2 linked regions of the Macaca mulatta genome follow. The main gene of each other region encodes a partner of the protein of the gene in region 2 in a complex. Links are inferred from orthologs where the notes say so. Each region holds a gene or a part of one and is shown on either strand. Other genes may lie near its edges.

Evidence for each region. The genes of interacting proteins can lie anywhere in the genome.
Region 1: the proteins of CMKLR1 (region 2) and RARRES2 are in contact, whole or in part, in a cryo-EM structure (PDB 8ZJG), measured with the Homo sapiens proteins. The link is inferred for Macaca mulatta from reciprocal best matches to the Homo sapiens genes CMKLR1 and RARRES2. Residues at the interface, in NP_001135815.1 of Homo sapiens: Asp20, Tyr21, Leu22, Asp23, Ser24, Ile25, Val26, Val27, Leu28, Phe88, Leu92, His95, Tyr103, His104, Asn116, Leu119, Ile120, Met123, Arg178, Leu183, His184, Gly185, Lys186, Ser188, Cys189, Phe190, Asn191, Trp203, Thr205, His217; in NP_002880.1 of Homo sapiens: Leu34, Phe37, His38, Phe60, Thr75, Ser76, Cys77, Arg96, Leu111, Gly112, Arg113, Leu114, Val115, His116, Cys117, Pro118, Ile119, Thr133, Leu136, Arg137, Gln139, Arg140, His146, Ser147, Phe148, Tyr149, Phe150, Pro151, Gly152, Gln153.

Annotation. Positions count from the first base shown.
Region 1 is NC_133408.1:189,729,188-189,732,923, forward strand, and holds the start of RARRES2 (retinoic acid receptor responder protein 2 precursor), read right to left. Parts: upstream 2,567-3,736; 5' UTR 2,512-2,566; exon of another isoform or gene 2,480-2,511; intron 2,063-2,479; exon of another isoform or gene 1,922-2,062; intron 1,525-1,921; 5' UTR 1,505-1,524; coding exon 1,331-1,504; intron 1,202-1,330; exon of another isoform or gene 1,103-1,201; coding exon 998-1,102; intron 1-997. UniProt on the Homo sapiens protein: Adipocyte-secreted protein (adipokine) that regulates adipogenesis, metabolism and inflammation through activation of the chemokine-like receptor 1 (CMKLR1). Also acts as a ligand for CMKLR2.
Region 2 is NC_133416.1:115,475,328-115,479,063, forward strand, and holds the start of CMKLR1 (chemerin-like receptor 1), read right to left. Parts: upstream 2,515-3,736; 5' UTR 2,418-2,514; intron 2,342-2,417; exon of another isoform or gene 2,009-2,341; 5' UTR 1,959-2,008; exon of another isoform or gene 1,934-1,958; intron 1,754-1,933; exon of another isoform or gene 1,561-1,753; intron 1,426-1,560; exon of another isoform or gene 1,142-1,425; intron 83-1,141; exon of another isoform or gene 1-82. UniProt on the Homo sapiens protein: Receptor for the chemoattractant adipokine chemerin/RARRES2 and for the omega-3 fatty acid derived molecule resolvin E1.

The DNA of each region.
Region 1 (3,736 bases), on a different chromosome or scaffold from region 2:
GAGCAGAGGAAAGGGGTGAGGGAGGCCTGGGCATCATGAGGGTGGGAGCCAGTGCTGCCCATTATGGGACCAGATTCCCAGCTAGGCCCTCGAGCCCAGGAGCAAGAGGTCATGCAGGCCAGCAGGTTTTAGGCACAGCCCACCCTAGAATGTCAGAAGTTAGACCCATGCAGTTTTCAAACTATGGAACTTTCGTGTGTGTGCAGGCAGGAGTCCTTCCCAGATGGGTTGTGTGGCACATGCATGAACACACATGTATGTGGTTTGTATGCAGGAGTGTGGGTGGATGGGTGTGTGATGTATGCATGGACGTATCCACTTGTGCTCGTGTGAAGGCAAGAATCCTCCTCCGATGGGTTCTTCCCACCCAGCGCCTCCAGAGTGGCTCAGCTGTCACCTATTCTGTTTATTACATTTTCTTGTAAGATTTGATTTGAGGTTGGTGAATCATTGCTATAATCCAGTGCCCTCCTTGAGCCGACAGAGGGAACTGGAGCCTTTACAGAACCTGTAATACAGAGCCCAGGCAGTACTCACAGAGTGGGAACTAGAACAGTCACTGCACTCCCATCCCGGGCATCACCCCCATGCTGGAGGGTTTGCCCCCACTGTGGCTGATGACTGGAGCCCTGCTAGGCTAGGAGGGCACCAGACACATCCACACAGCGAGCTCCTTCCACCCAGGCCCTGAAGCTTGAGAGAGGAACTCAGACAGAAGTGAGCCCTGCTCTGATGAAGATAAGTCCAGGGGTAACCAAACCCTCTTCTTGTCTGCCAGGCCCCAGCTCCCCACCAACCACCCTCACAACCTTGGGCTCAGGCTGAGCCGCTCCACCTCTAAGGAGGCTCCTCACAGTGGGGTCTCTAACCTCAGGGCTTCTTAATAGACCTCCCAATTCTATGCAGGCACACCCAGGCATGTGCCCCATACGCCAAACCCCAAGTCCATGAACTCACACCCAGCATGCGCCCATTGCTCTCACACCCCTTCACTCACCCCATTGGGCCTGACTTTGCACTCGGGTTTCTTCCAGTCCCTCTTCCGGCAGCTTGTCTGCTGGAGCTTAAATTCCAGCCTCACAAATATTCCAGCTGGGAAGTGCTGCAGACAGGCAGGCAGAGGATGGCCGGTAACCAGCTGAGCGTGCAGAGCAAGCCCTGGTGTGACCCGCGCCTCCCTCACGCAGTCACATCCCAGCAGGTTGGACTGGGGCCTTTTCTCCAAAGGGCTGGGGCTCAGAGCCCAAGCACTTCTGTCTCGCTTCCTGGGAATGCGCTGGTCTCCCGGGATGCGAGCCTCCCTGCTCCCGCCAGGGCCATGCTTACTCACCGTGTCCACGGCGCTGTCCACACCGGTCTCCTGGAAGGCCCACTGCACGGGCGGGTGCTTGTGAAATTCCTCCAGGGCCACCTGCAGGCCCCGGCGCTGGGCTTCTGTGAGCTCCGCGACGCCGACGCCCACCGCGCCCAGCCACAGGGCCAGCGGGATCAGCAGCCGTCGCATGCTTCCGTGTCACTCCGGCCCTGCGAAGCGGGTGTGCGCCCTTCAGCTCTCCGAGCCAGCCCGAGCCGCCTACTCCCGCGCCCTGCTCTCGGGGGAAGGCGGGGGGGAAGGCGGGGGGGTCGGCGGGGGGGACAGGCATGTAGAACGCTGGGCAGAGGTGAAGGAGCCTGGAAATGGCCCTTTCTCCAAATTGATCTTGGGGTCTTCCTGGTCCTCTCCGCTCCCTTCCACCCTGCCCGCGCTGTTCCCTGGGGCCTGCAGTTTTAGCAAAGTTCCCTGCCCATGCCAGGAATCAGTCAGTTCCCACTCCCACCCTCCACCCCTCATCTTGCCCTTTCTCCCTCTCCCTGGGTCTCTGACACGACCCCCTCTCCTCCCTGCCGTCTCCGGAGCCCCTCTCTCCTTTCCCCGCTCAACCTTCTCCCAGACCGCGACTCCCTCCCTGTTCAGAATCATCGTGCTCCCACGGGGTCCCCAGTCTCCGAGGTCCAGGCCAGCCTGGGGGAGGGGCAGGGGTCGGAGGTCGAATACTTTTGGGAGGATCTAAACACGTGGGAGGGCCCGACGGGTGGGAGCCGTGGGAGGCCTCACCCTCCCGCGCGGGGGCTGCCTCGGGCCACCAGCCCGCCCCAGTCGCTAGGAATGCGCGTCTCGCGCCACCCAGCCCTTGGCTTTCCCGCTTCAAGCAAAATCTTCCCTCCTTCCTCTTTTTTCTAGGGCCTTCCCCATGACCCCTCTCCCAGCCCTTCTGAGTAGTCCCCTGATGCATGACTGGGGCCACCGGAGGGGCTGACCCTCCCGGCGAGCCCCGTCGGTCCTGGTGGTCTTGGGACCGGAAAGAGACAGATGTGGAAACCGAGGCCCCCTCAGTGAAGAGCTGCCAGGGTGGTCGCCTTAGACCAAAGGCGTTCGTCATTCCGCCTGCGCAGCTGCCCCTCCGCCCGGCTGCCGCCCCAGCCCGTTTCCCCTCCTCACGTCCTTCCCTGCGCCTGGAGGTCTCCCCTTACCGTCCCGCAGCTGAAATCTTGGCCTCGCTGTCTGCCTCTTCCCGCTTTTCTCGAGGGGTGGCCCCCACCTCCTCCCACCCCCACCTCCTGGACCCTCTCCAGCAACTCCGGCTCCTCCCCTGCCCCGTGGGACCGGCCTCTGGGGCGGGATGCCGTCCCGCGCCCTTCCTCCCCATCCCACCCCTCTCCCTCCCCTCAGTCCAGCCCTCATGACCCTGACCCCGGCCGCGGCTGCAGGCGGCTAGCCCGGGCGCGCAGCCCTTGGTCCCACCTCCCTCTGGCTCCGGCCTGAGCATTCCGCGGTCTCGGCCGGCCTGGGCCTCTTCTCCGCTGCTCTGCTCCCCCAGGGGCTTTCTGTGCCCCACTCCTGCCCAGGCAGGGCTGCCCTGTCTTGGGTCCTTTACGGGGGACCATTCCCCAGCGTCCCTGAGACACTCATCCTGGGATTTCTTCCCCGAAATACAGACATCCTCAAACCAAATGAGACCTCGATGAGGTCCCTACCCCTGTCCCCGCCTCCCACTCCCTGAGCCACACTGAGAAGGAAGGTCTCTCCTTTAGGGAGGACTCTGGCGCCTGCAACCTTGATCGACAGCAAAGATGTCCAGTGTGGATCCTGCATCTGCCTTTCCTGACAATTCCTCGTGTCTCATTATCCGTGGGGTAGATTCTCATGGGGAGTGGAGGAGCCTTCCGGTGTGGCAGAACAGCATGATGGAATTCATAAAGTGAGAGGAAACCCAAGGAAAACTGTGCAAATAGCGGCTGGACTCCGGGGTATGCTGGAGCAAGGACGAAGAAGCTCTGGGACTTCGCATGTCAGTAACCACCACCACCATGCCTCTGGTTCCCACAGCACAGGGATCACCTGAAGTAGAGGATCTCATGTAACTTCATGGCTCTCTCTGAACTTCTGTTTATCTGTAAGATGGGGATCAGAAACTGTCTTAAGGAGTTGTTTTGAGGATTAAATGAGGAAACATGAAAAGCAACTGATGTCTAGTACCGGGCACAAGGCTTTTGTCCCCTACTTATGCACCCCTGGCCAGGGTTCTCCACTTAGAGCTGAAAGCTTCCTTAACAGTGTGCTCTGGGGGCACCAGAAAGAAACTCGACTTCCATTAACCACTTCCGGGTGCGTGAAATCCCACCACTACTTAGGGCAGTTCACTCCCCAGCTTGAGCTACTCAGACTTCCTTAAGCAGAAAGAGATGGGATCTGCCT
Region 2 (3,736 bases):
GGCAGGAGAGACGGCAGGAACCACAGAGAAGACTGATCTTGAGAAGGAGGTAGGGATGCAAAAGGGAAGTTGAGGGCTTTCCCTAATAGAAAAAGAAAGACTCAGAACCTAGATGTTCAGGTGTATGACCTCAGACCAGTGATCTGGCATCTCTGAACCGCACAGGTCTGAGTGATTGGGTTTATACCAAGTAGTAGTTCCCTGATATTGCAGTGTGTTGTTTATTTATAATTTTGCCAAAGTTGTCTTGCCCATTTAAAATGAGCTATTCTGAAAACAGAGTAGGGAGTGGAATATTTTCAACAGAGAGTGCCGGCAAAGGGTTTGTGTCCTTCATATACAAAGAACTCTTAGAGATCAATAAGAAAAAGATAAACATGTCCCCAGAGGAGAAAAAAAAATGGGAACAGACTTGAGCAGGAGAGTCACACTAGAAATGTGGAAAATAAGTTTATAAAAGAGAATCAACACTAATAAATAAATGAAATACCTATTGAAGCATCTGGATAGTATTCTCAACTTCACATCAGGGAAGTTTTAAGGGATGGGTAGCAACAAGGTGGGTTTAGGACATGAGAATACTGTGCCCTGGTATAACATCATAGAGAGGTCAAGCTGTCACAGCCTTCCAAGATACAGTGTGACCAAAAGCTTAAAAAAGTCTCAAAAATAGGCAAACCTTAAATCTAGCAGTTTCTAAAAGGTATTCATAAGACACACACACAAAGATGTCATACTAAATAAAGTGTTCATTGCAGCACTGTTCTAATAGAAAAAAAAAAAAAAAGGAGAAGCAAGTCGATTATGGAAAAGTCAAATAATCTTAAGATACCCTTTCTATGCAGCCATGAAAAATGTATATTGGAAGAATATAGGTGATATGGAAGAAAGTTCACAATCTGCGGTTAAGCAGGTTACCAAACTAGATGTGGAAATGCACGTTCATATATTTACATGTGTGTCCTTGCTATTTCTTTAAACAGTGAGCATGCATTACTTTTGACATCTGAAGATAATAACAAAACTCTTCCTTTTGACAAATACGAAATTATAAAAGGAAACAAACTTTTCTCTCTGTTAGTATTCATTCCCCTTCCCTGGCCCCTCTCAGAAGACACCCAAGGCAAGTGTGTGAAGATACCTTTCCTCTGGTCTCTGCCCGGAAGGTCTTCCTGAGGGTTCCCTGTGACTGCAGGCCACTGGAGGCTGTTGGGGAGACTTGCACACCCTGGCTTCTTTCTCCAAATCACAGGTTCCTCTGGCTGTGGCTGTTTGCCCAGAAAGCAGTTCATTCATTTGTTCACTCAAGATCCCCCTCCGAACCCCCAGAGCGCTGCGGCTGGAGCACCCCTATCACCCGGGGGCTTCCCAGGGAGCCCGCTCTGTGCTGAGCTCCCTCCTGGCCGCCGGGCTGCTTCCCTGAATGGGACTGGGACAGAACTCAGCCAGAGAAACAGCTGGAGGGAGGAGAGCAAGAGGGAGGGGCAGGAAACTGGGCTGACCGAGGGCGGGGGCGGCTAGCTGCGTGGAGAAGGGGCTGCGAGGGGAGGGTGCCCTTACCAGCCGGGGACTGGGCTCGTGGGTGGCGGCGGGGGCCCGCTGGGGACGACCCGCCCCTCAGGCAGCCTCTTGCAGCTGGGAAGCTGAGCCTACTGAGCGCAAACCGGAGCACATGCGACCCCCGGCTGCTGGGGGAAATGCAAGCGCCTCTGCTCCCGGTGAGGGGCTCAAGCTCCACGCTGACCGACAGACTGGCTGCCTCTCACCCTGGGCCTTTGCAACGCTGTTCCTCCCACCTGGATGCTATTCCTGCCCTAATTCGTGGCCCGATGGTCTCCTACTGCCTCTTCAGGTCTCAGATTGACGATCACCTCCCAGGGAAGCCTTCCCCAACCCTCAGGGGCTGCTCTGCCCCTCAGGGTCACCCCATCACCTCATTGATGCAGTGCTGTCCTTGCCTGTTAAGGTGTCTCTCTCCTTGCACCAAGAACTCCTTACACCAGGAACTCTGTAGGGAAATAACTGTATTTGTTCCCTGCCCTAGCCAGGCACTAAGTGCTGGTTCATCAACTGTGTGGTCACCATCGTTAGTGGAATAATCAAAACAACTGAGAGCCAGGCAGCCTGCTAGGCAATGCGTACTTACACTTCACAGCAACCCTGGATAGCAGGAATTATTACTACCCCAGTCTTACCAATAAGGAAACTGGGGCACAGAGAGATTAAGTCACTTGCCCAAGACCACACCACCAGCAGTTGACAGAGCTGGGATTCCAACTATGCTGTCTGGCTCCAAGGCCCACCCTTGGCCCCAGACAGAAGAAATAACAGAAGTGCCCACTGTGGGCCCCTGTGCCAAGTGCTTCCGTGGAGTAAGCCATGTGAACCACCACCAACATCAGGGAGGCATCACTTGCCCATCCTACACGTGAGGATGCTGGAGCCACAGAGCAGAAGTCGTTTTGTCCAAGGCACCCAGCTCATGCTGACGGAGCCATGGCTGGATCTGAGTCTGTCTGATTCCAAAGCCAAGACTGCCTACGACTGCCTAAAATAATATTTTTAGAAAGGAAAAGAAAAGGGCAGGGCAGGGGAGGGGAAGAGAGGGGAAGGGAGGAGAAGAAAGAAAGGAAGAAAAGGGAGGGCAGGGAGGAAGGTAATGGGGAGGAGGGGAAGGTGAAGGGAGAGGGAGATGGGTAGGGAGGGAGAGAAGGAGAGAAACCTGTGTTTTGGGCTTCAAAGTCTTGGGCAGGTGGAGAATATGTCCTCATCGTCTGATTAGCCTTAGAACCCCACTGATCTCTCCCCACCATCCTCAATCCTTTAATTCAGTGAGCTTTACACTTAGAAACCATCTAATTTCATTCTTCCATTGTACAGATAACTTGAAGCCCAGAGAGATTGAGTCTCTTGCCCAAGGTCATACAGATCTCTACAGTCAGAAGTCTAGCCCAGTCTACCCAACTCTCTTCTTTCCTCTCTTCTTCTTTGGGCTTACCTAGGGTACAAAACATCTTATCAGAACACTTACTGTACAGATGAGAACGCTGAACCCGGAGGAGGCAAGGGACTCACCCAAGGTCACCAGAAGTTAGTAATTGTATTAGTCCATTCTCACACTACTGTGAAGAAATACCCAAGACTGGGTAATTTATAAAGAAAAAAGGTTTAATTGACTCACAGTTTTACATGGCGGGGGAGGCCTCAGGAAACTTACAATCATGGTGGAAGGTACCTCTTCACAGGGTGGCAGGAGAGACAATGAGTGCCAAGCAAAGGGGGAAGCCCCTTAGAAAACCATCAGATTTCATGAGAATTCACTCACTGTCATGAGAACAGGATGGGGAGAAAACCACCCCCATGTTCAATTCCCTCCCACCTGGTCCCTCCCATGACTCATGGGGATTATGGAATTCCAATTCAAGATGAGATTTGGGTCAGGACACAGAGCCAAATCACGTCATTCCCCAAGTTCTCCTGGTAAAAGGAGAGGATATTTCCATAACGTGGCAGGGATCCTGTATATCACCATCTAATAGAGACCAGAGATTCCTAAAGCCTAATTTCCAGACCAGCCCCAGCAGCCTCACCCGGAAGTTTGTTAGAAACACAAACCCTTGGCCGGGCGCGGTGGCTCAAGCCTGTAATCCCAGCACTTTGGGAGGCCGAGACAGGCGGATCACGAGGTCAGGAGATGGAGACCATCCTGGCTAACACGGTGAAACCCCGTCTCTAC